2 linked regions of the Arabidopsis thaliana genome follow. The protein of the gene in region 2 interacts with the protein of the main gene of each other region in a pairwise test. Each region holds a gene or a part of one and is shown on either strand. Other genes may lie near its edges. The genes, in order: ACOS5 and LAP6.

What was found.
Region 1: the proteins of LAP6 (region 2) and ACOS5 interact in binary tests that used the Arabidopsis thaliana proteins (3 or more experiments, as listed by UniProt).

Annotation. Positions count from the first base shown.
Region 1 is NC_003070.9:23,303,847-23,320,188, forward strand, and holds ACOS5 (acyl-CoA synthetase 5), read left to right. Parts: upstream 1-6,685; 5' UTR 6,686-6,707; coding exon 6,708-6,791; intron 6,792-6,905; coding exon 6,906-7,235; intron 7,236-7,443; coding exon 7,444-8,022; intron 8,023-8,110; coding exon 8,111-8,455; intron 8,456-8,539; coding exon 8,540-8,607; intron 8,608-8,678; coding exon 8,679-8,901; 3' UTR 8,902-8,949; downstream 8,950-16,342. Other genes in the region: AT1G62915 (uncharacterized protein), read right to left, coding at 1-41, 87-132; AT1G62920 (proteasome maturation factor), read left to right, coding at 467-598, 834-924, 1,175-1,447, 1,882-1,948, 2,204-2,363, 2,469-2,528; RPF3 (Tetratricopeptide repeat (TPR)-like superfamily protein), read left to right, coding at 2,688-4,577; AT1G62935 (uncharacterized protein), read right to left, coding at 5,034-5,564; AT1G62950 (leucine-rich repeat transmembrane protein kinase family protein), read left to right, coding at 11,448-12,616, 12,712-14,215; ACS10 (ACC synthase 10), read right to left, coding at 14,425-15,286, 15,366-15,526, 15,645-15,758, 15,847-16,342. UniProt on the Arabidopsis thaliana protein: Carboxylate--CoA ligase that may use 4-coumarate as substrate.
Region 2 is NC_003070.9:356,204-372,071, forward strand, and holds LAP6 (Chalcone and stilbene synthase family protein), read right to left. Parts: upstream 4,544-15,868; 5' UTR 4,239-4,543; coding exon 4,037-4,238; intron 3,947-4,036; coding exon 2,961-3,946; 3' UTR 2,914-2,960; downstream 1-2,913. Other genes in the region: AT1G02040 (C2H2-type zinc finger family protein), read right to left, coding at 1,901-2,875; AT1G02060 (Tetratricopeptide repeat (TPR)-like superfamily protein), read right to left, coding at 4,715-6,847; SPL8 (squamosa promoter binding protein-like 8), read left to right, coding at 9,422-10,122, 10,520-10,656, 10,783-10,946; AT1G02067 (uncharacterized protein), read right to left, coding at 10,742-10,963; AT1G02070 (zinc ion-binding protein), read right to left, coding at 14,242-14,548, 14,656-14,744. UniProt on the Arabidopsis thaliana protein: Plant type III polyketide synthases (PKSs) that catalyzes the condensation of malonyl-CoA units with various CoA ester starter molecules to generate a diverse array of natural products including long-chain alkyl alpha-pyrones.

The sequences.
Region 1 (16,342 bases), about 23 Mb from region 2:
TGATATCCAAACTAATGTGAGTATATGAGAGAGTGTAGCAGCTGTAATCTCATCAAATGAAAGATATTTCAGTGTTCAAGTATTACTTCTCAATGCAGTCAGTATGTTCCCATGGTGTAGTTCATTGCACATTGGAACAGTTCGTTCTTTTTTGTGTTGAACTTGAATTACTATCGTTGTTTTTTGTAGTTCCTAGTGGAATTATGAACATGTGTGTGGCTGGACAAACATACACGTAGTACCAGGTTTAGTACTTGAATTATGAACTTGCAGAGATGGTTCAATGGCATAGTTCCCATCGTCAATTTCATTGATTGAATTTCCCTTGCCAGAAATTTCTGTTTTATCATAAATTTTGAGAAGTAGTTTTGGTTTTACGGGGTTTCTTCATTTCTGAAATTAGGGATTTTATTTCAGGGTAAGAAATCCCAAGAAGAAATGAAGAAGAAAGTTAGTACGCATGCATATGGAGCCTGCTCTTCCTTTGAAGATGGACCTTGATAGACCGATTCTTCCTCGGTATGGAATGTTAGATCAGTATCATTATGAAATAATTCCTTTGAATTCCGATGCTTACTCTGCCATTAGATATGAGAATGTATGAAAATCTTCCTTAGGTTCTATAGCATAATGTGAAGATTGAAATATGGTTTGATCAGTTGCTGTTTCTGACTTTTGAAATTTGGTCAGTTAGAAATTTACATGAAACTTCATAATGGTTACATTTGTAGACTACATAGGGTTTTAGATATTCACATAGGGCATTCTCATCTTCAGTTTGGTGAATCAAGCAATTACTATATACCTATTTATCTGGAGTATTCAGGTTTCAGAGACCAACTGGCCCAATTCCCTCGTTGATGCTTGACCTTGAAGTCTACACAGGAGCTATAGATGATTTTGATTTTGAGGATTACTTGAATGGTAATTGTTTTACAGCTCTTTCTCATACTTTTTAGACTGTTTTACACCAAAAAAAAAAGAAACCCTATATATTTGTCTGCTTCTACAATGGTCATTGCTCAAATAGTGACTATCATATACTACTTGCAGTGTGTAAACCAAGCATCCTTGTCTTGCAGAAAGTTGAACTCTTTGAGTATATAAGAGAAAAACTGTTTAGACTTGTTTCTTTTCTTAGTTTCACCATTTTATGGGTTGTTCTGATAAGTAGTATCTACTCCGCAGATCCTCGAGAATCCAAGATGCTCAAACCAGTTGACTTCCACCACCACGTCATGGAAGTTGGGGTTAGTCTCTCCAAAGGCCCAGCTTAACCAAGTTCCTTGTAGGTCAAAACAGTTTATACTTTATAATGCCATCAAAGTATTGAAACTGGACTCTACTTGTATGTTTGTGCAGCCTAACGCTGGGGAAATGATCCTTGCAGCGCCGTCATCAAGTTCAGGGACCAAAACTCTTGTCGAAAGCTTCAACAATAAGTCTGGTGACTAATATATAAATAGCTGATTTGGATAGTGTGAGATCAACATGGTGTTGCTAGACAAGTGTGCAGAATGAGATAATTTTATATTAGAACAGCCATGTATTTTCTTGTGATGTTTCATGTTCTTAACTTCTCTTATTTACACGGTTCCTTTTTGAGCTGCTACTGACCATGAGAGGTGTTATGTGTTTAACGCAATAACTTTTTGTTAGTGCCTTGAAATATATGTTTTCTCATGTAAGTTGTCCTTGTAACTAAGCTTTTCATAATTGATGACATCAGTACTGATCTTTTTACTTTTATTTTTGTTAATGATATATTATAACCTCGAGAATTTTCTCATATGTAGACGAAATCTTGGAAAAACTTCTGGTACGTATTATTTTCTTAACTCTTGGCATCTTATTTTTGAAATCAGGTGTTTAGGTCAATAGCGGAAACAGAGCCTAGTGATGTGAAGTTAGGGCTGGACTTGGTGAGCTCTATGAAGGAAGAGCTTGAGTTATGTCCTTCAACATGCTTGTGCCAATGCCAAATATAAGCAGAACGCTAGCTCTACCTGTATGGAAAGAGTACAAATTTGAAGAACTTCCTTACAATGTCCTCACAAGTATTTAATGCAAGAGCTCTTTTATCTCCTACATTTAAAAGAATGATTTTGAACTTTTCTTAGTCATCGTATCTAAAAGAGTGGCTTTTTCTTAGTAGAGAGTTCTTTTTTTTTTTTTGATAAATCCTATCGACTAATCCGGTCAGCCTCGGTAGAAACGCACCGAAGTACTTCAGAGTAGACTTCTCCCCGAAAGACCACACTGTCTGTCTCGAGTTTGGAATTCTTAGTAGAGAGTTTAATAGGGCACATCTTAGAGATGGTGACAAGGAAAAGTTTACTCTTAAAAATGTTCATAAAAGCAAGGTTTATTAAAACTGAAAATTGCAAGTGTTGTTCTTCCGTCTAATGGTTTATTTATCTGATTCTCGTATTGACAATATGGAGATAATGTTTCTGTTTATGGAAAAGCAAGGTGAAGAGGCATCTTTACCTACGCTCATAAACCTGAACAAAAGAGACATTAACTGAACAATATTAAACCAAATCGTACCAGAGAAGAGAAGTCAGAGTGAACCGGTCGGTTATTAAAACTGGAATATTTAAGAAGAAATCTTGACCGTCAAAATTACCAAAATGATCCAACGGCGCAGAAACGCGAGATCCCTCCGTCTTCAAGGTTAAACAATAATGACAAGTTGTGTTCATTTAGGGATTGTCGCATCACAATCGAAGAAGATGAGTTTGGCGAAGAGATTTGCTCAGCTGAGGAAAGCTTCTCCATTGTTTTCCCTTCGAGGTGTCTATTTCTCTGCTGCGAGTTATGACTACAGAGAGAAATTGAGTAGAAATGTGTTGCTCGATTTGAAGCTAGATGATGCGGTTGATCTGTTCGGTGAGATGGTACAGTCTCGTCCTTTACCTTCCATTGTTGAATTCAATAAACTGTTGAGTGCCATTGCTAAGATGAACAAGTTTGATCTTGTCATCTCTCTCGGCGAGCGGATGCAAAATCTGAGGATTTCATATGACCTCTATTCGTACAATATTTTGATTAACTGTTTTTGTCGACGCTCTCAACTCCCTCTTGCTTTAGCTGTTCTTGGCAAGATGATGAAACTCGGCTATGAGCCCGATATTGTCACGCTTTCTTCGCTCCTCAATGGGTACTGCCACGGTAAGAGGATATCCGAGGCTGTAGCTTTGGTTGATCAAATGTTCGTAATGGAGTATCAACCCAATACCGTCACATTTAACACTCTAATCCATGGGCTTTTTCTTCACAACAAAGCTTCCGAAGCAGTGGCTTTAATTGATCGAATGGTTGCCAGAGGGTGTCAACCAGATCTATTTACTTATGGTACCGTAGTAAACGGATTATGTAAGAGAGGTGATATTGATTTGGCTTTGAGTTTGTTAAAGAAGATGGAGAAAGGGAAAATAGAGGCTGATGTTGTGATCTACACCACTATCATTGATGCTCTTTGCAACTACAAAAACGTGAATGATGCACTCAATCTGTTCACTGAAATGGATAACAAAGGAATTAGACCAAATGTTGTTACCTACAACTCCCTCATAAGATGCCTTTGTAATTACGGAAGATGGAGTGATGCTTCTCGACTACTCAGTGATATGATTGAGAGGAAAATCAATCCAAATGTAGTCACTTTCAGCGCATTGATTGATGCATTTGTGAAGGAAGGGAAGCTTGTAGAGGCTGAGAAATTGTACGACGAGATGATCAAAAGGTCTATAGATCCTGATATTTTCACTTATAGTTCACTGATCAATGGGTTTTGTATGCACGATCGTTTAGACGAGGCCAAGCACATGTTTGAGTTGATGATTAGCAAGGACTGTTTCCCAAACGTAGTGACTTACAATACTCTTATAAAGGGATTTTGTAAGGCTAAGAGAGTAGAAGAAGGTATGGAACTCTTCCGCGAGATGTCTCAAAGAGGATTGGTTGGCAACACAGTCACTTACAACACTCTTATCCAAGGGTTATTTCAAGCTGGAGATTGTGATATGGCTCAAAAAATATTCAAAAAGATGGTATCTGATGGCGTGCCTCCCGATATCATAACATACAGCATTCTGTTAGATGGACTCTGTAAATATGGGAAGCTGGAGAAAGCATTGGTGGTATTCGAGTATCTGCAAAAGAGTAAAATGGAACCTGATATTTACACATATAATATTATGATTGAAGGGATGTGCAAGGCAGGGAAGGTGGAAGATGGGTGGGATCTATTTTGTAGCCTCAGCCTTAAAGGAGTGAAGCCTAATGTAATAATTTACACTACAATGATATCAGGATTTTGTAGGAAAGGTTTAAAGGAAGAAGCAGATGCCTTGTTTAGAGAAATGAAAGAAGATGGGACTCTTCCAAATAGTGGTACCTATAATACGCTGATTAGGGCACGCCTTAGAGATGGTGACAAAGCAGCATCAGCTGAACTCATCAAAGAAATGAGGAGTTGCGGGTTTGTTGGAGATGCTTCAACAATAAGTATGGTGATTAATATGTTGCATGATGGGAGATTGGAAAAAAGCTATCTGGAAATGCTGTCTTGAAACAATCAATCCTCGAGAAACGAATTGGGGAGCAACCATCTTCCCTTGTGATTGCATATGTGAGGTGAATCGCCTTTTTTAGATAGCTATTCTTGTGTTTACTTCTGGACCCGTTTTCATGTTAAATTTGTTCTTGTTGTTGTTGAGTGTAAGTTTCGTGGACATGACTGGTACAGTTCTCTGCAGTCAGTATGTTCTCATGTTGATATAGATTTGTTTCTTGTCTAATCGATGATTTATCACCTGAATAGTATTCTTCCAGATTGGTTAAGTTCATACGTTCAAAGAAATTTAAAGACCACGCTCCTTATTCGACTGATTGATCGATGAAATAGCAGATCCATCAGTCATAAACGGCGCTGAAGAAACACATTAACACACCAAATTTATGTACCACACGACAACAATTTCTTCATATGTACAGACTACAGAGAGAAAAACAGAGTTTTGAAAAGATCAGACAAACAATTTGTCGGTTCGTCTCTCTTCTCTCCATCCATTGTAAACGTTTGCAATGTAATCTTCAATCCTGCTCGTCAATGTGTCATCATCAACATCATCACCATAGGCATGATTATCATCATCATCACGGTTTTCAATACCATCATCACCACCATCTTGATTACATTGGCTAAAATCTTCATCATCGTTCCATATACAACCATCATTATCAACTTCATCAAAACCATCATAATAGCTAAAACAATCATCATAGTAATATCTTGTGAAATCACAACATTCTCTGTTCTTGTCTATGATTTCACCATCAAGCATATTGTCTTCTTGAAAAGTGTACAAAACATAGAAATCTCCGGTTTCTTCATAAACAGAGCGATTACGATCGATGATAAGTAAGAAAAGAATCGTACAGAGGAAAAAGAAAAGAAGAAGAGGATTGTTGAAATATCTCAAGAAGAAAAAGAGCATTAGTGTTGAAACAATTGTTCTCCAGATGATCTCCATGACATTGATTATAATGTTCAACATCTTCATCTGGACTCTATCTATATCAATAAAAGAGTAACTTTCCGGGAAAAAACCATGAATTCTGCTGAGATAATGAGTGGAAAAAGTCTGTTGTGTGAAGTTATTGTAAAACTTAACATATATAAAATAAAGGTTTTAATATTCTAAGGATGTGTTGTACACATGTCTGTTTCTTGCTGCGCAAGTTCTAAGAATTTGTGTATGTGTACCTTTAGTATTAATATATATGTTCTTGAGAGAGAAGTTTACGATTCTTGAAGTGGGACACAATGAGTTTTTAAGTTATGATTGTAACAAGTATGTCATTTATCTCATTTTAAAAGTATGTTTTTCTAATATTTAAATCTATATATGTAGATGAGAATATAAAAAATATGGTGTAGTTTAATTTAAGGTTTTTGTGATCCTTACTCTAAGATCATCAAAGTATGAACATGCCAATAACAATAATAATTCGTATTGAAGAACTTTGCACAACCTATTTATAGGACCTAAACCCTTAAATCCCCACCATTGTATAAAATCTTCCAAATCAAGAATAAAGTAAGATTCAAAATTCTAATCATACCACATTTTCTACGTACATTTCATCTAGATCAAACCTTTTCTACCATGCATCTCCAAAGGAATTGAATCCTTAAGCCAACTCACGTGAAATCGAATAATCCATTCTCGCTTCTAAGTTGAGAAAATCCAATATTTCACGTTCTAGAATCATGACGTACGCGTGACATTTAGAAATGAGACCTTAACCTTTTAAAAGTCATTGATAAAACATTACAATATAGTTTCTTTTATAAGTAGTACAAGAAAACTTTGTATTTATAATCTCGGTAATATGATCGTAGTAGAGAATGTTTAAGAAAGAATACATTAATTTGTATGAACAAAATACTTTTGAAGATGTTTTTTTATTGGACTCCATAAATAATAAATTCAGATATTTTCACATCATTTCCATGACTCAACAAAACTCTACCTACAATATGTCTAAGAGAGTCAAAGACTATCATCCTCTTCTATAACCAAAAATTGGTTTGCACACACATGACATGACATGAACAAGAAACTACTCTCCTATTTATATTCACTCTAGAGCCGGCCCTGTTCCTAACACATAAATCAAATTCAATTCGTTTAAAAATGGAGAGTCAAAAGCAAGAAGATAATGAATACATTTTCCGCAGTTTGTATCCATCTGTGCCCATTCCTGACAAACTTACACTGGTAATTAATATAGCTAAGAACAGTTTTTCATTTCCGGTTTCGGTTTATTATAATTTAGGTTAAGATTCGGTTTATAAATACTAATGGAATTAACTAATGGCTATGTGAAAAAAGCCTGAATTTGTGCTCCAAGGAGTTGAAGAATACACAGAGAATGTAGCGTTTGTAGAAGCGGTGACCGGAAAAGCTGTGACGTACGGTGATGTAGTGAGGGACACAAAGAGGCTAGCCAAAGCGTTGACATCTCTCGGACTAAGGAAAGGTCAAGTGATGGTTGTGGTCCTACCAAACGTCGCCGAGTATGGGATTATTGCCCTTGGTATTATGTCTGCCGGTGGAGTCTTCTCCGGTGCAAATCCGACGGCTCTTGTTTCCGAGATCAAGAAGCAAGTTGAAGCTTCCGGTGCTAGAGGAATCATCACTGATGCTACTAACTATGAAAAGGTAATTAAACATTACTGTTTTCTATATGATTTGGAAAACTTTTTAACCAGCAAATGTATGCACATGATAATTTCGTTCGGTTTGGTTGCTGCAATATATGGTATAGACTAAAAACCAAACCGACATAATTCCACAGCCAAGCTGAACTAAACCAACCAATCACCAAACTCGATTTATTTGTGAAACATTTACTGTTTGTTTTGGACAGGTGAAATCACTAGGTTTACCGGTGATAGTGTTAGGTGAAGAGAAGATAGAAGGAGCAGTAAACTGGAAAGATCTTCTAGAAGCAGGAGACAAATGCGGAGATACCGACAATGAAGAGATTCTTCAGACAGATCTTTGTGCACTTCCTTTTTCTTCAGGAACAACAGGATTACAAAAAGGAGTAATGCTCACACATCGCAATCTCATAGCCAATCTTTGCTCTACTCTCTTCGGTGTCAGGTCTGAAATGATCGGTCAGATCGTGACGCTTGGTTTGATCCCATTCTTTCATATTTACGGTATCGTTGGCATATGTTGTGCTACAATGAAGAATAAAGGCAAAGTTGTTGCTATGAGTCGGTACGATCTAAGGATTTTCTTGAATGCTTTGATTGCTCATGAGGTTTCGTTTGCGCCTATAGTTCCGCCGATTATATTGAATCTTGTTAAGAATCCGATAGTTGATGAGTTTGATCTTTCGAAGCTTAAACTTCAGTCTGTCATGACTGCTGCTGCTCCTTTAGCTCCTGAGCTTCTTACTGCCTTCGAAGCCAAGTTTCCTAATGTCCAAGTCCAAGAGGTAAGACTTAAGACTTTTATGTTAGTTATTACCTTATTATTCATGTTCAATGATGTTTTGATTGGTTATATATATATATATATATTAGGCTTATGGATTAACGGAGCATAGTTGCATTACGTTAACTCACGGAGATCCAGAGAAAGGACAAGGAATCGCGAAACGAAACTCGGTTGGTTTCATACTTCCGAATCTCGAGGTAAAGTTCATAGATCCTGACACCGGTAGATCACTCCCGAAGAACACTTCTGGTGAGCTATGTGTGAGGAGCCAATGTGTAATGCAAGGTTACTTCATGAACAAGGAAGAGACTGACAAGACAATTGATGAACAAGGTTGGCTTCACACAGGAGACATAGGTTACATCGATGATGATGGAGACATCTTCATCGTTGATCGTATCAAAGAACTTATTAAATACAAAGGTTTTCAGGTAAAATGTTTATACCAAAGATTAAACATAATTCTTCCTTGTTTCATATTGGCCGGATTTTCAAAGTTGAAGCTTTTCCAATAGGTTGCTCCGGCCGAGCTTGAAGCTATTCTACTCACTCATCCATCCGTTGAAGACGTTGCCGTCGTGCCGTGAGTATCTATATAAATATATTGCCCTAATGATTTCTTGAAACTGATATATTAAAACATGAAATGAAAAGGTTACCGGACGAGGAAGCCGGGGAGATTCCGGCGGCTTGCGTGGTGATAAATCCGAAAGCGACAGAAAAGGAAGAAGACATTCTCAACTTTGTTGCAGCAAATGTGGCTCATTACAAGAAGGTTAGAGCCGTCCATTTTGTGGATTCAATCCCTAAATCTCTCTCTGGTAAAATCATGAGGAGGCTTCTTAGAGACAAGATCCTCAGCATCAACAAGAAGTAGAAGAAAGAAAACTCTTACAAGCTTTTAATTAATCTACTTTGATTTAAGAATGTCCTTGAACAATAAATACTCTTTGTGGTTTTTATTATTGCTCCTTGATTAGGAAATTCTACAGTTCAATTCTGCACCGCGCAACAACTAAAAAGATTAAACTATCTCCTCGAAAGATTTTAATCAAAACATTGATATAACTCACGGAACAACAATTTTAAACCGCAAAAACACGCTGCTTTCTCATGCTGTAAAAAGTTATACTGTAGAATTAGATATTGAACTGACTTACTTTCATTAATTCGCAAACTATGAGTATTTATTCACAATGAACTCAACAAGATATAAACACAAACTCCTAAAATATAGGACATAAACTCTATCACCAAAGATATCGTACTAATCTAATTCTCAATTTTTAATCTTCATAGTTCCTTATTATATAACCAAGATAATAGTTGTCTAGTTGAAACTTGAAATAGCTCAAGGATGGAGAATTTATCGTCTTTCACTTTACTTTTCTTTTATTCAACTTTCTCACTTTCTCCAATGTATAACTACTTCAGTACTTCAATACTCACTAGACCAGGGAAAATGTATGAAATTTCAATTGTATATTTGTATGCATGCTTTAGATATTTATTTTTTTCCAAGATTCAGATTATATCGAAGTAACATTTTTTGTAATTGTGGGCATTGGTCAAACACCTAGTACTTCTGTTTTATGTCAGACTTGAAGAATCTAGAGAATCTTAGGAACAGTAGTCAGACTTTGATGTTTCGAAATATACAAATATAAACAGTACCGTACTTAATCAACGGTCATATTATAAATTCATACAAATAAAAGACAACGGGGTATTAAATACTGAAGATTAGAGAACATTTTAAGTCTTTTATGGATTTATGATTCAGTGATTCAAAGACTCACAGTGCAATATTGATGTATCTAGGAATTTACACTAAGAAATCGACAGTGATTATAAATAGTACTCAGTTGCTTGGACAAAACTAAAGATTTATAAAGAAAAATCCGACAAAAGGCATAATTGGGAATTGAACTCTTTTTTGACAAGAAACTTTGGAATGAAGTTTTGTTGTTGTTCAAGCATAGTTTTTTTTTTTAATATGAGTAATTTTGAATTTACTGCACTGTTCTAGGTTTCCGACCTAAAGGGATTATTTGATAAATCTTTAAACATTTACTAGTATTACATACTCCTTCCGTGTCAGGTATCACTTTAATTAAGTGATGTTCACTATATTTAAGTTTGTCTTTTGGTGTATGTTTTTATATTAGTTGAGTTCATTTTGGGATGTTCAAATAATTAGTTCCGCCAATTTCTAGCAAAACAAAGAACAGAAAAAGCTTTTCCTTATAGATTTTAAACTTTTGTATGGAAGAAGTCTACAAAACCGGAAAATAAAGGGTGAGAAATTTAATTTATCCATTAATTTTTGTGGGATTACGAATTCGAAAACCATTTTTGTGGGAATACGAAAACCACTTTGAAGGTTTAAAGTAACAATTTTTTTATTTTGATGGTTTATTGTGAGAGTTCAAAATCTTGAAAGTTTTTAAAGTGTAAGTTGTTGCTACTTTGAAGGTTTTTTATAAGATTTTTCGGTAAAATAATCTTATTCTCATTAAATAATAAATAATACAATTAAGGTTTTATATACAATTGATAAAGGTCTAAACCAGAAGCCACTAAACGGAAAATCTAAGACTGGTTTATACAATACCAATTTGTATAGACTCTCTATGAACTATTGTATATACAACATTTCTATGCAATCAAAAGCTATATACAATAATATTGATATCACTTAATCAAATTCACAATGTTAGACTTGTTTTGCGAAATATCATTAATTTGAAAACTAATTCTATAATTAGATAATATTTTTAGAATTTTTGATTAAAAAAATCTACATTTCGTATCATTCATAAATAACTTAAAAACTGTAGAATCACAAACATGATCAAATTATACATAAAAATTTATTTTATCTTATTTATAGTTTCTGAAATACATTGATGGAAGGGTTTGATTGGTGTAGGCAACAAAGAATAAATGCTTGATGGTACAAGACAAACAGACACCTTCTTCTCCCACTCTTAAATTACACACACTTACTTACACACACATAAGCTTGCACGTGGTTCTTGTTCACATGGTGGAAGCCACAGATGTATATAGAGAGACAGAGAGAGAGAGGAAACAAAACCAAACCTTTTGCTGCAGAAGAGACAGACTATTAAATTGCTTCACCTGCTTTACTTACTTTCCAGCCAAGGCACACTCTCCACGCACTCATCTTTTCTCAAATCTCTCTCTATATAGATTTGTGTCCAGAAATTAATGGGTTTGGTTCGGAAACTTATGACTGGTAATACCCAGATCTTATTCTATGTTTCTTGAAACTCTCTTCTCGAGGCAAATGCAGCTACTTCTTCATGCTTTTGTTCTTCTTCTTCTTCGTTTATCAAGAAATTGTTAACGAAATAGCTTAACCGGGTTTGAGTTCGGTTTAGGATCCGATAACCGCAAATGCAGATTGGGAAATTGATTTGGGTAATAATGTTCATATTCGTTCACATTATTATTACATCATCTCGAAGTTTCTCGGATTCTATTATTACCGAACGAGAGATTCTACTTCAATTCAAAGACAACATCAACGATGATCCGTACAACAGTTTAGCTTCTTGGGTCTCTAATGCTGACCTCTGTAACAGCTTCAATGGTGTATCTTGTAACCAAGAAGGATTCGTCGAAAAGATCGTTCTTTGGAACACTAGTCTCGCCGGAACCCTAACGCCGGCATTGTCTGGTTTAACTTCTTTAAGGGTTTTGACTCTGTTTGGCAACAGGATTACAGGTAATTTACCTTTGGATTACTTAAAGTTACAGACTTTATGGAAGATCAATGTTAGTTCCAATGCATTGTCTGGTTTGGTTCCTGAATTTATCGGTGATTTGCCTAATTTAAGGTTCTTGGATTTGTCGAAAAATGCGTTCTTTGGAGAGATTCCAAATTCTCTGTTTAAATTCTGTTACAAGACAAAGTTTGTTTCATTGTCTCATAACAATCTCTCAGGATCAATCCCTGAATCAATCGTAAACTGTAACAATCTCATTGGTTTCGATTTCTCTTACAATGGCATTACCGGTTTGTTGCCTCGGATCTGCGATATTCCGGTTCTTGAGTTTGTATCTGTTAGAAGAAATTTGTTGTCTGGTGATGTGTTTGAGGAGATATCGAAGTGTAAGAGATTGAGTCATGTCGATATAGGAAGCAATTCTTTCGATGGAGTAGCGTCTTTCGAGGTTATTGGATTCAAGAACCTGACTTATTTTAATGTGTCTGGAAACCGGTTTAGAGGGGAGATTGGTGAGATTGTTGATTGTAGTGAAAGTTTGGAGTTTTTGGATGCTTCTTCGAATGAGTTAACTGGTAATGTACCTAGCGGTATAACCGGATGCAAAAGTCTTAAGCTTTTGGACTTGGAATCGAATAGGCTCAATGGGAGTGTACCTGTAGGTATGGGGAAGATGGAGAAGCTCTCTGTGATCAGGTTAGGCGATAACTTTATAGATGGGAAGCTACCACTTGAGCTCGGAAATCTTGAGTATCTACAGGTTTTGAATTTGCATAATCTCAATCTCGTTGGTGAAATACCAGAGGATTTATCAAACTGCAGACTACTTCTTGAACTGTGAGTCTTTGTATCTCTTCTATGCTGATATTTAGTGAGTTTTTGATTCGTTTATCTAACTTTTTAGTTTTGTTAATCTTTGTTGTTTGTTGTAGAGATGTTTCTGGAAATGGTTTGGAAGGAGAGATCCCTAAGAATCTATTGAACTTAACAAACTTAGAGATTCTTGATCTGCATCGGAACCGAATCAGTGGAAACATTCCGCCTAATCTCGGGAGCCTCTCGAGAATCCAGTTCCTCGATCTTTCAGAGAATTTGCTTTCTGGTCCTATCCCGTCTTCCCTCGAGAATTTGAAAAGACTGACTCATTTCAATGTTTCTTACAACAACCTCTCCGGCATTATCCCAAAGATTCAAGCTTCGGGAGCTTCTTCGTTTTCCAACAACCCTTTCCTCTGCGGTGATCCTCTTGAAACACCGTGCAATGCTCTCAGAACCGGATCAAGATCAAGAAAAACCAAAGCTCTAAGCACCTCTGTTATCATTGTTATCATCGCTGCTGCTGCGATCTTGGTTGGTATCTGTCTAGTGCTTGTCTTGAACCTTAGAGCTCGTAAAAGACGGAAAAAGCGTGAAGAAGAAATAGTCACTTTTGATACCACAACACCCACTCAGGCTTCAACGGAATCTGGTAATGGTGGTGTAACATTTGGGAAACTTGTTCTATTCAGCAAGAGTTTGCCTTCAAAATATGAAGATTGGGAGGCAGGTACGAAAGCATTGCTCGACAAGGATAACATTATCGGTATTGGATCAATTGGAGCGGTTTATAGAGCATCTTTCGAAGGCGGGGTTTCCATCGCAGTGAAAAAGCTCGAGACTCTAGGTAGAATCAGAAACCAAGAAGAGTTTGAGCAAGAAATAGGAAGGCTTGGAAGTTTAAGTCACCCGAATCTTGCTTCTTTTCAAGGTTACTACTTTTCCTCCACAATGCAGTTAATTCTTTCTGAATTTGTCACAAACGGAAGCTTGTACGATAATCTACACCCGAGAGTCTCCCATAGAACTAGCAGTAGCAGCAGCAGCCATGGAAACACCGAGTTAAATTGGCATAGAAGATTTCAAATAGCAGTAGGAACCGCAAAGGCGCTTTCTTTTCTTCACAACGATTGTAAACCCGCGATTCTTCATCTCAATGTAAAGTCTACCAACATACTCCTTGATGAAAGATACGAGGCAAAGCTATCAGATTACGGTTTGGAAAAGTTTCTTCCGGTTTTGAACAGCTCCGGTTTGACTAAGTTCCACAATGCGGTTGGATACATAGCTCCAGAGCTAGCTCAGAGTTTGAGAGTGAGTGACAAATGTGATGTTTATAGCTATGGTGTGGTTCTTCTTGAGCTTGTTACAGGTAGAAAACCAGTGGAGTCGCCGTCTGAAAACGAGGTTGTGATCTTAAGGGATCATGTGAGGAATTTGTTGGAGACAGGTTCGGCTTCTGATTGTTTTGACAGAAGATTGAGAGGGTTTGAAGAGAATGAGCTGATTCAAGTGATGAAATTAGGTTTGATTTGCACAACAGAGAATCCATTAAAGAGACCGAGCATTGCAGAGGTTGTGCAGGTTCTTGAACTGATCAGAAATGGAATGGAATCATGAAAAGAACTCGTTTATTTTTGCAGAGAAATTGTGTAGTGTTTACTGTTAAGTTCATTCATTTGTGATTCTTTTGTCTGTTTTGTTGCTAAAATTGGTAAAAGTTCCATTAACCGGGTCTTCTCTAACCTTAAACCGATTCTGGATTGATATTATCCGGTTTACTGATATAAAGAGTCTGATTCAGAATAAACCAAATAATCAAATTGTAATCAATTTTGAGATTTACATGTTTCACAAACTTTTCTAATGCGGTTCATAACTACTGGCACATCTCTCTCAGACAAATTACTGAAACAGATACGGAACCATCCTGGTTCGATACAGTGACAACAAGATCCTGGTATGACATTGATCTTGCCAATGTTCAAGAGCTTGTTCCACAGCTCAATCTCGCCTTTTTCGCTGTAAGATGAAATCAATCCTCGCATATCAGCCCAACAGTAGAACCCTCCATTGCTTCTTGTGCACTCGATCCCTAACTCTTTCAACCCCTCCACGAGCTCCGTGTAGATACTCTGCAATCTCTGCCTGTTGGTTTTCACAAATCTCTGAACATTTTTTGGATTGGAGATTGCGGATATCAGCAAATGTTGGGTTGGAGATGAGACAGGTGAGAGCGTCGTGAGCTTTCTTGAAGCGGATAAAACACTCTCGTTGAACGAGTAGATAGCAGCGGATCTAAGCCCCCGGAAAGACAAGTCTTTCGAAAGGTCATACACGATATGAACTCTTTCCCTGTCGATATTCTCTTCCGTGTCAACTATTTCAGCCATGCTAACAAACTCTCCTTCTTCTCCGTGGACTGACCCAGCAAAGATTTCGTTTGATATAATATGAATGTTCCTCTCACGGGCAAAGTCCAAAAGCGCATAGAGATTCTCTCTGCTCAGTAGGCTTCCCATGGGATTTGAAGGATTCGAGATTATAATGCCGCGGATTCTTACACCTCGTTTCTTAGCTTGATAGAATGCTCGATCAAGCACGACCATCGACATATTGAAATTATCCGCACTTCTACATGGAACGTGTATAATGTCAACTCCTGTTCGCCATTTAACATCCCTATCATATCTACACAAAGAATGTCCCCATTCAGTATTCTCTCGTAGCATTAGCATCGGGTCCAAACAGTATAGACATAAAGTTTTACCCGGGAGAACACGGAGTTGGAACAAGGAAGGCGTTTCCCGAATCAGCTAAGCAGAAGGAAAGAATCTCAATAGCAGATGATGCACCAGAAGTTAACACTAACTGTGATGGATCAAAAGTCACCGAGTTTTTGGTAGCTTCAGTCATAAATCCTGCCACAGCCTATCACATAATCCAGAAAACTTCTCTCAAGAACACATACAAATCCCCAAACAAAACACTCCAGTGAATAAGATTAATGAAACAAAAGTTTAGAACTTTAGAGTAAGAGATAGCAAACCATTTTCAGTTCCAAAAGTCCATCAGAAGGCTCATAAGAAGCAATGCCACTAATACTCAATCCATCTGAAATTGCTTCTTTTGGATTCTCTAAAACCCAATCATCCAAACTCAACTATTATAAGAAGAAAGAGATCAGTCAAATCCAGGAAATAATCACACAAAAAGTTTCAATTTTTTTTGAAGAAATTTAGATACAAAACCTTGTTGTTTTGAGCTAAACCAAGTTGGATAACTCCGTCCGGGTTACCCAACTCATCATACGGATCATCCTCGACCCGTTTTTGACCAACGTAGTAAGGCGAAGAATCTCCACCTTTGAGTACACAATTAACCCGACCCGAAACCGAAACAGCTCCACCGGAATTTCTCGGCGAGAGGAGAATACGAGAGAGAGAACGAGGTAAACCAGTAAGCTCCGTGAGATGACCAGCGGATTGTGACCGGGTGGGATCCGGTAAACCCGAATTAGGAGAAGAAGAAGAAGAAGCTGAGGAGTTTTGTTCACCGGAATTATCTGATTCGTCGTTTTTACGATTTCGTTTTAGGTAAAACTGAAGAAAGTAGAAGAAAGCACAAGGAATCACAGAGCCTAAGAATAAACCACCACGACCTTGTACCACACCTTGTAACGGAACAATAACCCTCATCCCGGTGGTTCTACCTCCGCCGACGTTACCGGAATTCTTATCGGAATCG
Region 2 (15,868 bases):
AAACAGAGCAGAAATAGAAGAAAAAGGAGAGAGAGAGAGAGGGAGAATATAAGAAGAAGAAGAAGAAGAAGTCGGAGTAGGTTACAAGCACTCTTCCACCAACACTTAAGCTAATATACGAAGTCCCAACAACAAGTTAATGTTTTCTTTTTAAGGAAAAGAATTAATGGGATACTTAAGAATATCAACGAAAGCAGTTTACTTTCTTTTTTAATATCAGAAACGGCTAAATAAAAGACCTGTCTGTTGTGTAAACATAAATACAAATAAGCCTCTAAATATATATAATTATCAGTTATGTTTTTCTTATTTTATTGACAGATTGAGCCAAAAAAAAAGAAAAAAAAAAGAGTATTGAATGATGAAGTGAAGAGCCGTTGATCAAACATGTAACATGCGATCTCACACCTTTATTCCTCCACGCTGACTTTTTTTCTCCTCTAATTTTTCAAATACACTCTTCTACTAGCCCAAAAATACTAGTATGTAAATAGTAAATACTAGTATGTAACTGAAAATTTCAATACTTTGTTGATTAGAAAAGAGTTTGTGGATGAGGGTATTCATTTTGGTAAAGTTGCAAACAAAAACCGTTGAGGTTTTGTTGTAACGACTAAACAACACTAGCACTGGCCCCTCTATTTCTAACTTTACCAAATTTTAATGATTCTGTGACAAATACACCAACTCTCCTTAAATCATAGGTTGACACGTGTGACTAAACTGCTGACTTCCCGCATCGTATAGTTAGTGCTATCTTTGACTCTCATACTCACACGCCCTTTTGGTGTTGACTCACCTCTTGTCATTTATTTGGATGAAATTTCAATATAAGAATCTAAATTTCATTACTCTACAAATTTCTACTAACAAAAATATTTTCCCAAGCATGTCTAAATAATTTTAACCTTATCTCGTTGAGACGTTATTACCTCATACTAGACCAAAATTTCCTTGTATCAATAGCGTGCAACTCTTGTACGTGTCTATATGTGTCAATTGTTGTTAAAGTACATGTCCTCAAGTTAATTGATTAAAGATCTTTTGAGTGGCCCAAAGAGTCATATACTTTGCTTGAGCTTTTCTCAAAGAGAAATTGGAGGATATCAGTTGACATTAATCAAATTCCCCCCGCTAATCCTAGTTTTCAGCTGATGGTTGGTGGGCTTCCTAAAGTCAAAAGTTCATAACTTGTAATGGCAACCACTCATTAATAACATATATGCGAGATAAAAATGACTCTTTTCTTGTAATCGTATTGAGAGAAATGACCCTTTCCTTGCAATCGGTGCTTAATTAAGAACCACCAAAATTATCAATTCCGTTGAGGCGTTGACTCATGTTCATGTGTTTTCAGTGTAGTAAGAGCCTTTTGATTATTAACATGATTAAAATATATATGGGCATATCACGAGAGTTATTTGATACGTGATATTCGTTTATTTATTTGATATTTTTCTTCTTTGTGATTTCTTAATTTCGAATTTACAATTTCTTTTCTGGAAAACTTCAAAATTATATCTCCTTCTTGATGGCTTAACAAGTAAATTATATCACTCTGTAAGATTACAAACATGAAATTAAAACATTTGCGCTTATATGAGCAAGGAGCCCTTGGTTATCTTACTTTATTCTCAACGTATATAATAATAAAAAATGATACAATTATCTATCTTGTATATTAACTAGTTGTGAAACTTAATTTCTTACTTATATCTTTGTATATATTGGACTAGAACTCCTTATGGCTCTCTAAATCTGCAGAAGACGCCAAGTGTAATTCATATAAATCCATAAACTCTATATATAAACTCATGCACTTAATTGTATATATGTAAAGAATATAAACGAATGAAAGTTAAAAGAATATAATTAGCAACTTAATTAAATTAGTCAGTCGTCAAGACCAATCACCACTTGCGAGTTTTAACCACGAAGATGAAGTAGCGTTGTGATTATTGCCACCACCATCTCTCTCGATCATCCCTACGCTCATGGCCGTTGGATCGACGGAATATTCTTGGCAAGCTAAGTTGAGATCGAGAGATGGTTGATCTAACGGCTGCGGTCTGCCGACGGAATGATGATGATCGTGGAGCGACGTCATACGAAGATAATTGGAAGGTGTTAGCCAATGGCATCGCTTGTGGCCTCCTAAGGCCTGTCCCGAAGAGAAGACGCGATGGCAGATGGTGCATTCGTGAGCGTTGGATCTCTTTCTTGCGATATGAGCCGTTGATTTGTCTTCCTCATCCTCCTCCTCATCTTCGTCCTCGTCGTTGTCGTCGTCGTCTTCTTTGTATTCCTCTTCCTCTTCCTCTTCTTTATCTTGAGAGGCAAAACAACCCTTCACTTTCTTGTGGCTTGCCCTGTGTCCACCCAATGCCTGATGCGACGTGAACACCTTCTTGCAAGCTTTGCATTGGAAAACCTGGGCGGTTTTTTGCTTTTTGACGGTTTTGCCCTTACCATGTCCATGTTGTTTATGCTGATCACCACCATGCGCATCCCCTGAATTGGACAACAAGACAAGACAGTTGGCAAGCTCTTCGTCTTCGTTTGGAGACAAGTTAAGATGATGATGCTGAGTGGACATCGATCTCTCCCTCTTCCACGGAGGACGACGTGACATGTTGTCCTCATCGTGTTGTCCACGACTGAACATTACGAAATCAATGCATGGTGAGTTCATGGCTCCATGCATGTGTGTGTTCAAAGTGTTTTGGTGTGAATTAAAAAGAAGAAAGCCCTTGTTTTTAGTGGAAGTAACGGGTTTGGTGTCTTCTTGTTCATGTGGTTCCAAGTAGCTAAGCACTTGCTTTAACGACACGTGGTGCAACTTTTGACTTTTTCCAACATTCCTAGTCACATGCATCTATTCTATATAGATGTTGTTTAACAAATAATACTCTCATTTCATGCTTACAATATGTTTATAACCCAAATGTAAATTATAACAATTAGGAAGAGGTGAGGCTGCGGATGAGAAGGCCTTCGAAGGTGATTCCAGGTCCGAAAGCTAAGCCAAGTCCCCACTCTTGTGCTGCGTCACCTTTCTTCTTCAGCTCATCTCTCATATACTCCATCACATACAGTATCGTGTTGCTGCTCACGTTCCCGTAATCCACCAACGCCCTTCTGCTGCTCTCCAGCTTCTCTTTCTCCAGCTTCAGTTTTGTCTCCAGACGGTTCAGAATCGCAGGTCCTCCTGGATGAACAGCCCAGAACATGTCATTGAACTCCATCGACTCATCGCCAGCCTTTCCCATCAGCTTCTTGCAGAACTCTTCTATGTTCTCCTCTATCTTCTGCGGGAGGTCTCGTCCAAGCTTGAAGTTTATGCCTTCCTCAGTCAACCTCCCCTCGATCACGTTCTGTGTCCCCGGCAAGAACTGCTGAACCGCATAGTGCAGCTCCATGAAAGGAGCTTCACACTCTCTCGGGTCAGCTCCGATGATCACAGCAGCTGCACCATCTCCAAACAGAGCAGCTCCAACTAGGTCGTACGGACGCGCTTTGTTTGGTGGCCGAAATCCGAGAATGGTGGTTTCAGAGGTTGTGAGCAGAACACGGCTTCCGGGGTTGTTCTCAGCAATGTCTTTGGCCACACGGAGGCCAGTCACACCTCCGTAGCATCCCAGAAAATACAGCATCACTCTGTTCACGTCATTCCTCAGGCCTAGCTTTGCTGAGAGGTAAAGGTCACCACCGGGTAAACGGATCTCGCTTGAGGAAACGTAGACAATGTGAGTGATGTCTTCCACTGGCCTTCCCCATTCCTTGATGCAACCTAAACTGGCTTCCAATGCCATTTCCACAACCGCCTCGTTTGCAATTTCAAGTCTTTGCTTGATTGTTGGTGAACCCTCTGTTGTTAGCTCAGGGTATTTAGCCAGTATCTCTCGCGTCAACACAGTGTATCGCGTCTTCACGGTTGTCGTTTTGCCTAAACAACAGCACAAAACATTAGAAAGCTTTCAGCATTTCACAAGAGAGCATAGCTGTCTGAAAAAAATATAAAGAGACTGAGGCTTACACAAGTGTTCCAGCTTTTCTTTGATAAACGCGTCATCACATTTGGTGTCTCGTAGAAATCCTTCCACTAGATTCTCCTGAGGAACGACTTGGCTTGGGAAGGCTTTGCCAAGAGCAAGCAGTGTTGCCTTTCCGGCATTTGCGACACGCCTTGTGGATTTGCTGCTTAGCTTCTCAACACCATTCATCCTAGAATTCGACATTTCTTTTCAAGCGCAGAAGGAAAAAACTCAATTAGATATTGGGAAGAAAGATGGTGGATGCAGAATATCAGCAAATGGCAAAGGATTATAAAGGAAGGGTTGAGGGTTTTCTTGGGGAGAGTTTGGTGCTGAAGAGTGAAGATCATGTAAAGAGAGAAACGGTTATTTTATTAGGGTTTGGTGATTCTTTGGCCTGTGTTGGTTAGAAATGCAAAAAACACCATGAAACCTATTTTCCCGGGATAAGTAATATAAGCCTAATCTACTTAGGAAATAGGTACCATGAAGGTGAAAGTTAGGAACAGAGAGTTGCAACGTCCATAGAGACCTGTAACAGACACGATGAATACAAACTTGCTTAATTGCTGAGGGCCAAAAATTTTACAATTGCCAATGGATAATTTTAGACACAGAATTGAAAACGGAACAAAGAGAGAGGATCCTGTTTACCAGAAACCAGATGCACGGTCTATCCTTCATTCTAATACAGAGCAATCATCTGATTCTCTCAATGTAGCCATCCTCTTTGACACAAACTGAAGTTCTTCCCACTTTCCAGCAGCCTCTAAGGCATTCCTCAAAACCACGTGGCAGCTAAGCTGTTGGTGGTTTCCTAGTTCTACTAATTCATTGTACAAACTAAACGCTTCAGAGTGTCTCTTATGCTTACAGAGTCCTTCTATGACCGTGTTGCATGTGTCGATATCTACCATTTGACTTTTTTCCAGACAAAACAGAACAAGTGTATGTGCATCAAGTAGTTTTCTATTCTCGCAGAGGTAACCAAGTAATTCCTCCATCTTAACCAAATACCCGTTATCATAAAGCAACCTAACAATCAGAAATGCCTTCTCTTTCTGTGCACTACTAAAAAGCAATCTGACAACCTGCGTTGAAAGATCAATGTTCTGTCTTATTCGTTTTTCCAACATTAGCGTTACCAAGCAGAAAGACTCGTTAGCAAATTTCCTTTTCGCAAGTTCTGCAAGTACAGAATGGAAAGTGGTTGCAACAGGAAGATAAGAGCTCCTTAGCATCCTTTGTAGGGTATCGTGAGCAAGAAGAGCTTCACCTATCTTCAACAGTCCATCAATCAATAACTCGTAAGTTTCAAGATCAGGTACAAATTCCCGCCTGAGCATTAGAACCAACAGCTCATAAGCAGGCTTGAATTTACCTTCTCTGCAGTGACCCGTTATCAAAGTCTTGTAAGAGGGCGGATCTTGCACTCCTCTTTTCATCAGCTGCCTGAAAACTTTCTCCGCTTGTTTTGTTTTCCCATTGGCACATAAGTATTCAAACATTGGGTTATAAGCTGCAGCGAGAGGCTTGCATTCATCCTTACCTAACAATACTTCCTTCTCAAATAACTCATTGAACAATGTCTCAGCTCTATCAAATTCGTTTCTCATGCACAGAGTACGAATCAAAACACTATAAGAAGCTGAATCAGGATGCAACTTCATATTCAGCATTTCTTGGAACACCTTCATCGCTGCATCCAAATGACCAGCATCGCAGTGGGCTTTGATCAAAATATTAAAAGTGCAGGCATCTGGAGCGAAAGTGGTAAATGCGTCGTTCCCTCCAATCAAGATATCTTTGATCTCATCATATCTGTGAGCCTCAGAGAGCCCCTTGATCAGAGTATTGTAAGTAACAGCATTGGGTTTCAGCCCTCTACTCAGCATGTCATGAAACACAAGCACTGCTTCATCAATTTCCTGCTTCATACAATAGCCTCGCACCAGAGTAGTGTAACTAACAACGTTGGGATGCACATCGGTTGCTTTCTTCAACATTCCACTCAAAACATTATGTGCAATCTTGACCTTGCCGGCTCTGCATAACCCATCGATGATCGTGTTATATGTAACAACGTCAGGATTGCAATGATACAGCTCCATATCCTTAAAAATCCTAAAGGCTTCATCGACCATGGAGTTCTTACAAAACCCATTTATCAATGTATTGAAAGTATAGGAGTCTGGGGTAACCCCGTAGGTACGACGCATTTCGTCGAACAAGTCATGGGCCATTCCAGTTCTGCCACGCTTGAGCAAAATGGAGAGAAGACTGTTGAAGGTAAGAACGGAAGGGGAGATGCCCATCTGCTTCATGGTCTGGAACAGCTTCACTGACTCCTGGAAGAGCCCAGCGTTCCCGTAGCTCCTAATCAAGCTGTTGAAGTAGCGATCCTGGAGCTTGACGCAGCCATTAGACCTTCTCTCGATGGAGAACAAGAAATTGCGAGCCACATTGAGATTGCGAGCTCGACCGAGGAACTCTAACATGAGGAAGAAAGACTGCTCTTTGTGAGAAAACCCCTTGTTGGAAACCCAGTCAAAGAACCGGAGACCATCCGCAGGGACCTTGATGAGACGCAGGGTTTGGAGAACGGTGGTTCTGGAGATGGTTTGGGACGGATGAAGAGATGATAGTGAAGACTCGAGTTCGTCCGACCACGGGTTAGAGTTCACGGCACGGGCCAAGGACCTGGCGAGTTTTGATTTGGTGGACCTTTCTTCATTGGTAACTTTGGCGGCTCGGAGAACTGGTTGAGACTTGGAGACAAACAAAGCATGGAGTTTAGGTACAGAAGATACCATTGCAGAAGAAAGTTGCCGCGAAATATGGCGGCACACGTCCGCCGCTCCTCCACCCCTTCCGGCGGACCAAGAGAACAAACCCTTTCTTCTTCATTCTATAACTCTCTAAGGCCCAATCTAAATGGGCTCCTCTTTGTTCTAGATAACTTTACTTTAGGCCCAATTATAGAGGTGGCCCCGACACAATATTTTGTTTTGTTTTAAACTTTAAAAAAAAAAGGAGAAGAAGCAACAGCATATAATTAAGTCCTAGCTATTAATCATCATCCATAGCATATCAGTAAGTTTTTGAAGATAGATTGTTTGATTGCATACAGATTTTAAAATAATGTTAAACCCTGAAGTAAACTTGTAACTGCACCAACACAAGACGTGGTGTATGGATGATCTACTACATTCCGTTTCCCTTTCATTGGGAATCAATTTGCGGACTAGTTTAAAACAATCGCATATGCATAATACTTGCGCAGTAATTAGGGAAGAAAGGAGGTGGGGGTAATGAGTGAGAAAGTGCAATAAGTGGGTATCTCTCAAATTAAGAGAGAGATGTTGACAAGGCAACAAGTTTGGTGTAACATTATCCTCCTCCTTTTATTTTGCCTTTTTCTCTATTTTTATATATATGCACAGTCTTTTTTACTCTTAATAAAATACACTGTTAATTCCTCGGATACCAACGGAATCGGTTGAATAAATTATGGATGTTACAGTATACACACTATGTAGGGACTTCTTAATTTATTTTGGTATAGTTAGAAAGATAGCTTATCGTTAGAGCGATTGAGAGCTTTTCATTATAATTAGGAGTTAGTTTACTTTAATTGTGATAACTGCCTTAGTAGATACATAAGTACACTATCAATTGACTACTTTGAGTGAATTAAAAAAGCCTCCTAACAGCGTACTATATGTACATCAGAATAAGTTGTAGTAGGAGCAGCATTCCTATTTTCAATATTGTACACTGTATTAAAACAAAAACAAAAAAGTAGAAGACAGGATTATGCATATAAATATATATCCCAGAACCAAATATGAAAATAGAAAATTTGGTTTTCGGGTTTATAATTTGTTTTAGAAAAAAAAAAAAGAGAGAGAGAGAGGGGCAAGGATAATAGAGACAGGAGTCCGTACGGTTTCGGGGGTCAACGTCGATGGCAGCCTTTGAGCACCTAAAAATAGGGGACCCACGCCATTACCAATTACAAAACCTCACTCTCTCGTCTATGCTCAGCTAACCCTACTCTCTTCCCTGTGCTGCCACGTGATCACCATCCGATTAATCGGGACCGTTCGATTAAGTAGAGATAGCAGCGCGTGAGGTAGAGAAAGAAGAGAGAGAGAGAGTTGGCGAATAATAGTAATTTGTTGTTTGGGGGTGAGTGGGTGTACGTTAGCAAGATACGATCGGTCATTCTGTCTTCCCTAAAACGATCAACCTCCAACTTGCTACCTATTTACACTTTTGCCATCCTGTCTTTCGAAACCCCAACACCGTTTTTGCCTCTTATCTCTCTCTCTTTTTTGGCCTTTTCCTCCTTTTTTTTTTGTGGTTAATTGAAATAGATATTTTATTTCTCTCTATTCTTAAAAAAAACCACGTATAAACTTGTAACTGACTACGATGATTTATCTCATTCTCATATCTTATTTATCGCTAGTAAAAAAGAAAACAAATGTAAGAGAGAGGCCCAGCAGGGGAACAGAAGCGGGTCCCGACATAATTAAATAAGTGTAGAACAAACGCGTTTTTTACTCTTCTTTTTCCTTAACCACACGATCACCACCAATACTAGCTAGACCCTTTTCTTTCTTTTTTTTTAAAGTCCTGCGGGGGCTATATATGTATCATCCATATATACAATACGCTGTTAAAAAATAACATAGTAAGAGTCTGTCTATACATACTTGTGTGTTTAATTTGTTTGTCAAACAAAAGTTCAATTAGAGGCTCCATCAACAGTTGCTAAGTAGTGAGTTACGTTTTTTCGATATTCAAATTAATCCTACGTAGGTACTACTAAGATTACAAATTAGAAAGCTTTGAAAAATACTAGTAGTAAAAAGGGGCAGATGATTGGTAAATAATAATTTAAATTGTTTTTAGTAAAAAAGGGCACAGACACTCACACACACACTGCTTTCACGACCCATGTGAGTTTTCTTTCTTCTCCATCTTCACTTTTTTAAGTAGCTAGATGACAAGACAGACAGCTATCTCTCTTTTTTTTTTACGAAGAAGAAGATCAAAAAAAAAATGAATTTTAAAAAGGGACCTTTAAGAGAGATGGTGGGAGAGAGAGCAATAGAGAGAGAAGGAAATCCACCCCCACAAATAGAAAGTTAGGGTTTATTGGAAAAAAAGAAAGAGAGTGTGTCTCTGTGTGTGATTCTAATAGAGGTGTAGTACGTCGCTTTGCTTTCAGTCCATTAAAACCATTCCATAACCTATTCCGCACCGACATGTCTCCTCCCCCTTTCCTTTATTAGCCTCTCTCTCTCTTTTTCACTACTCCGTCTTGATTTTATAAACAAAAGAAAGAAAGAGAGAGAGATCTTCCTCGGGATTGCAACATGTTGGACTACGAATGGGATAATCCTTCCTCCATCGTTCTCTCCGGAGATGAAAGAAACCCGGACTCTGACCCGACCCGGTCATCCTTCTCCTTTTTCGACCCCATCTCCCATTACAACAACGACCACCGTCACATCACCATTTCTCCTCCCCTCCTCTCTTCCTTCTCTAACCAACAACAACAGCATCACCTCACCCTCTACGGTCAGACCAACAGCAACAACCAGTTTCTTCATCATCACCATCACCACCACTCCTTGTACGGGTCCACCACCACCACCACTCCTTACGGCGCCTCCGATCCCATCTACCATCCCCACTCTTCCGCTCCGCCAGCCTCCTTGTTCTCCTACGACCAGACAGGACCGGGCTCGGGATCCGGATCTTCCTACAACTTCCTCATCCCCAAGACAGAAGTGGATTTCACGTCCAACAGGATCGGGCTGAACCTGGGAGGCCGTACGTACTTCTCAGCGGCGGACGACGACTTCGTGAGCAGGCTATACAGGAGGTCTCGACCAGGTGAGTCAGGGATGGCGAACTCGCTGAGCACGCCGCGGTGCCAAGCAGAGGGATGCAACGCGGATCTGAGCCACGCGAAACACTACCACAGAAGGCACAAAGTGTGCGAATTCCACTCAAAAGCATCGACGGTTGTAGCCGCCGGACTAAGCCAAAGGTTTTGCCAGCAATGCAGCAGGTTTGTGCCCCCTAAAGTTGCCACCTTTGACCTTTTTTAAATAAATAAAAAAATACTATAGCTGTGGGGTTTCGGCTATCTTCTCTTCTCTTCGTCCGTACATCCTTAATCTTGTTCTATCTTAGTTTTTAGATCTTCTTTGGATCTCCTTTTTTTTCATTAGTTAGTTAGCTTCCCTTTTTGTTTATTAATTAATTTACAATCACTGCTAAAGGATCGACACAATCATTGAGAGGGTTCGTACTGTGTGGTGTGGGGGATCCCGATATGGCTTTCTCTCGTCCTTTCCAACCAAATCATTTTAGCCCTAACTAACCAACCAAACTCTTATCACTAATTCTCCATCTCATCATCATCATCTGATTTATACATATATATATCGAAATAATCAATACAGGTTCCATTTGCTGTCGGAATTCGACAACGGGAAACGGAGCTGCCGTAAGCGACTTGCTGACCATAACCGCCGCCGCCGTAAATGTCACCAATCAGCCTCCGCCACCCAAGACACCGGCACCGGCAAGACTACTCCAAGTACGTACTTAATTCTCTTATCATATATATATATATATATATATCCTCTTTCAAATTAAGATAATCTCTAGATATATGTGTGCATTTAATTAATAAATGGGAATATGTGATGATGATGATGACCAGAGTCACCGAACGATTCGGGTGTTAAAGCGTCATCGTCACCGTCGTCCAACGCGCCGCCTACGATATCACTGGAGTGCTTCCGGCAAAGGCAGTTCCAAACGACAGCGTCTTCATCCACGTCAGCGTCTTCGTCTTCAAATTCAATGTTTTTCTCCAGCGGATAGTTATAAGCTTTACTCATATGATATATTATGCTTAAAATGAGAAATCAAAGGACTCTTCAATATCACTAGTTAATGCTAGCTGTCTATCATCTGAATTAGTCGGTAATGTGTAACGTTTTATTTCATGTCTCTCGTTTCGTTTGTCGTTTTCATATTGTTTTTGACTTAGTAGAGGTTTATTTAATTAACCAACAACATATCAGATTTCTGATTCTATTATCAATATCTCCTTACAAAAATAACAATTTTCAAAAGATGTCTTCAAAAGAAAAAAAGAAAGAAATTGAAAGTGTGATTGATATATTATTGCTGGTAAAAGCAAAGACCGGGGAGAGTACTCGTGCATGGTGGTTCGTTCATCGTTTATTCATTTCGGGGAACTGAATTATTGACTCTCTCTCTCTCTCTCTGTCTGCTGTCTGATGCTGAGCTGCTGGAATTTTCCTATAAAACTACAAGAAACCAATATTTTAGAAAGTGACCGATCAATGTACGTCCACGTGGTTTTACCGTCTTTTAAAAACAAAATAATATAAAGAAATACAGTAGTATTAGGTTGTTGTTGTCCCCCATTTTGAAGCTAAAAATCATACAATTTTTTTGTCAAATTAAATCAGTATCCCCACCGAGATTAATAATTTGCACTTTGATCGGTTGTGATATTAGTAAATGCTTGTCTACCCCACAACGGATGGATGATATAGGAGACGTTGACAAAATTAAGCGATTTTCCAAGCTAGTACCAAGTAGTAGTATATATGCTCCGCGTTACTTGATTTTTGTTACTTGCCAAAATTCATGATAAAACAATTGCTATGATGAAATAAAAAGAGCCGATCTGAGTATTGTTTGTTGCATATGTATATTCATTCCTCCCCTTGCTATTGTTATGCCGTAAGAACTCAACGAGGACTTTGCCATTGGTTCCCCTGATTCCAGCTGGGTGGGTCCATCGTTTTGCACACGTGTCATATTTGGGTTGGATTTTTTGGCAAAGTGGTTGGGTCTGCGAGCTAATTTTCATCAGAGCGCTGCACCCACACGTGATCATTTTCTGGCACTAACCTCCCGGTACGGTGTGGTGGGGATGCATCAAAATAAAGGCCCAAATGCATGGCCCAACCATTTATAACACTACACACACTCGTATACTATCTATTTATTATCCCTTCCTTTTCACTAATTAGGCCACGGATCAAATTGATGAATGATATTCCGAAGACTAGGGCTCTCTGATTATGGACCGCCCCACTCGCATCTCCTATGTAGTTTACGTATTAGTAGATTTATGTCAATTATATGTGTATGCATATGTCGCTGTTACATAAAGTCCTATGTTTTATTATACAACCTAAGTTATCTAACTCTTTGCCGTGACAGGGATCGGACTGTCCACATTCATGTAATTTATTCATGTCCCGCCCTATTTATTTTTGTTAATTGAATTGAACCAACTCATTTTTATTTCTATATATCCACTAAATAAATAAAATGAACAGACAAGAAAGAAAAAGCGTTGTGGTGCTGAAAAGTCAATGATTACAGACAAATGTGGAGGAGACTTGTATCATTTTATTTATCATCCAAGGACTTTGGGAAGAGAGTATCCAAAGTCTTAGCATTATACAACTGCTTCAATCATTACGTCACCACGTGTACGACTATATATTATCACTTTCTCATTTCATCTCATGTGTATATCTCAATCTTATTATAAGAATCACGACACAAAATAAAAAGTTTAGCAATAGCCTATATATACAAGTAAAAAATGTTCTAACAAATGCAAAGCATAGTGTTATGTAGAAAAGATGATCAAATCAATAGTTTGATGTGTCCCTCGAGGACTTGACTTCAGTAAAATATATGAATTTTATTCAGTCTAATTTTTGTGGATGTTCGATAACATTTACATGCATTTTTAAAGGAACGCCTAAAAAAAGATTGTTACAAAATAAATGTGCAAGCTTTTAAGTTGTTACACCTAGTATTTGCGAGCATTAAATCCGTAGTTTCATTATAAAACTATACATCAAATAACCATAGTATATAACAATATAATGGTGATGGATGATATACTACTTTCTTACATTTTAAAAATTGATTACTATATTATGCTGAGTTGGTGGAATAAACTTTTCAAAAGATAATATTACATAAGGTGTATTTAATTTTATGGGACAATATAAGTTACGTTGATGCAAAAAAAGTTCTTCTAAACTTGCTGTGATTATATGGGCCAGTATCAGTGTTGAGGAACCCAAACAAGTTAATTTTCGAGCCCACTATGATTTAAATCCCATTGTTTCTTCCCTACTAACTTACTACGAAATATATTTTTCTGTTGGCATATCACATATGTATGTGAATGGCCTAATGGGATTATATAACTCTTTTTGATGCCCGTTATGGATTCCATTTTTCAAGATCAAAAAAAAAAAAAAAAACGGCTGTGTCATTTAATTACTGGACAAGGAGCTGGCTATTTGTCTGTATTCATAAACAGTGTTTGTATCATTATTTAACGAATATTGTTTCCATAAGTACACACGAATATATTCTTATACATACGGGATATTTAGACAGGATTGGTACGATTCGTAGTCGATACACCATACTAATTTAGACCGACCCTTATTATTATTACATGTACTAAGTGCTTCTAGTACTAGCTAGCTATTACCCCCACTTCTTCTTTTCATTCTAGTATATGTTTTTCCCCACCGTTCGTATTTATATACAAAAAATATATATATATAATATTCCTTTGGTCCACATATTAATTCCCGTATCAAATTGTAAATCACGTACTTGTTGATTTTGTGAATGTACACGCGTACGCCTCCCTAACATTTGTTGACAATTAGGGTTTGCGGATATGTATCTTGATTTATACGATTTTACACGAATCACGATGACTTCCGATTGTACTCGCATTATTAATGGTATTTAACGACGAAACCTAAAGGAACCCAGACCTATATTTATATATACGTGGATGTTAAGTTTAATAAAGATCTTTACGAAAGGTTTTAAAGAAAAAGGAGTCTTTTACGCAAATTGCAGTTATTAATAGCTTATATGGTGATTAAGAAAACACAAGCTCACGCCAAACACACATTCATTTCATATATATAAACACAAAGTAAAAAGGAAAAAAGGATGAAAACAAACAACGACGTTTTCTTTTTTAATTTGCTCTCTCCGTAGTCTAATTATACATAATTTAATCACACAGTCTCGAAAGAGTAGTATGATTATAGTAAGTCTTCTAATACCTCTCGTTTAGGTGGAACTAACACATGACATCTTTGAGAAGCTTGTACCTTCGTGTGGCCGTCTTAGGCGACGTAACTCCGCCTCCATCTCCAGCAACGCCCTTGGCTACTTGATCGTGACGGTTATTGTTATGCTTGATCCGGTGGCCGGGCGAATATTCCGATCTGTTTGAGAAGTCATTTTCATATTTAACCGAAGAAGAAGGCTTCTTTGAAGAAGAACCGCCATGTCTAGCAACGTTGCTCAGCTTCCGGTCGTCGCTGCGGCACCAGTCGCAAATCTCGGTAGGCTCCGCAAACTGGCCGTAGTAGTTGCTACAATAACTATATATATATATACACACATATATGATCAATTAAGAAACCCATTAATAGCCGTGAATGGTCACTCTGATATACATATGCATGAATGATGAAGGAGGACTACTTACGAGTGTTGGAAGCGGCAGCGGCAGTGACCGCAGCTGAAGAGCTTGTCGGAGAAACCGACATCACCGCACATGCAACACACTCTCTCCATGATATATCTTCACAATCTTTATTATTTATATATATCGACCCTTGTATATATATGTTAGGCCGTGATGTTTAAAGTAATTATACAACTATGCGTGTTAGTAAAAATGTACAGGTAGACTAGAGAGTTTGCTTGCCGTCGTTTTCACTTTTCGGTTTTAGAGAGAAAGCCAACCTTAAAATGGGGAGTTTTTCGGAAATGACTGTTTTCTCCTTCCTTTTGTGTTTTTCCCCTGTCTTGTCATTTTCTAGTTTTTTCACTCTTCGTGCACATATGGTGGATGGATCCTTCTCCATGCCTACGGAAAGCGCAATGCAGTGACTTGTGGTCTTTTCTTTCTTTCAAATTATAGGCTTTCAAATAAAATAAATGTTGTATATCACGTATCATCAAATTCATTAGAACTCGATCGACCATCAGTTTTTTTAACTTTATAACGATGTTGACGTGACGAAACGCATGCTGCTGTGCGAGTGAGAGAGTGTTAAGCGATGTGAACAACAGAACAAACAGTTTGCGACAATAATTAACAACACCAATTTTTTCATCCAACTTAGTAGTAGTGCTGCTTTTTCTCCCTTTTCACATAAAGCGGAAAAAATATATTGGGATTATCTCTTGGTGGTGATGTATAGATCGCACACTAACATGTAAGTTAGTGGGAGTTCAGGCTTGAAGATCTAGTTCTTTAGCGAGTCTTCGTTGGTCCGGCGGCTTATTATCAACGTACGTGTACATGATGAGCTCTAGCTATAGTAGGGTCCAACTTGTCGCCAAGACTGATTAATTCGTCATATACTAGTTAATTACTCTAAACGTATAGCTAAAGAAGAACATTATATATAGAATATTTTGTTAACTATGATTTGTTTATGGTGTTAGACATATAAGTTTGTTTAATGTAACTTCAAATTATGTTGATGGATAGAGATGGATTTAATGAGGAGGGTTAGGTTATATACAATTTGGTACCCATTTATTGTTTGCTTTCCCAATATTTATTGCGGTTTGCATGTTTTATAAAAACTGGTTAATATATTTTTCGGGAGATTAAATATAAGGAAACTTTGATGCGACTCGACGACTTTGAGTGTAAAATTGATTAAACGCACCAGTCACATGATATG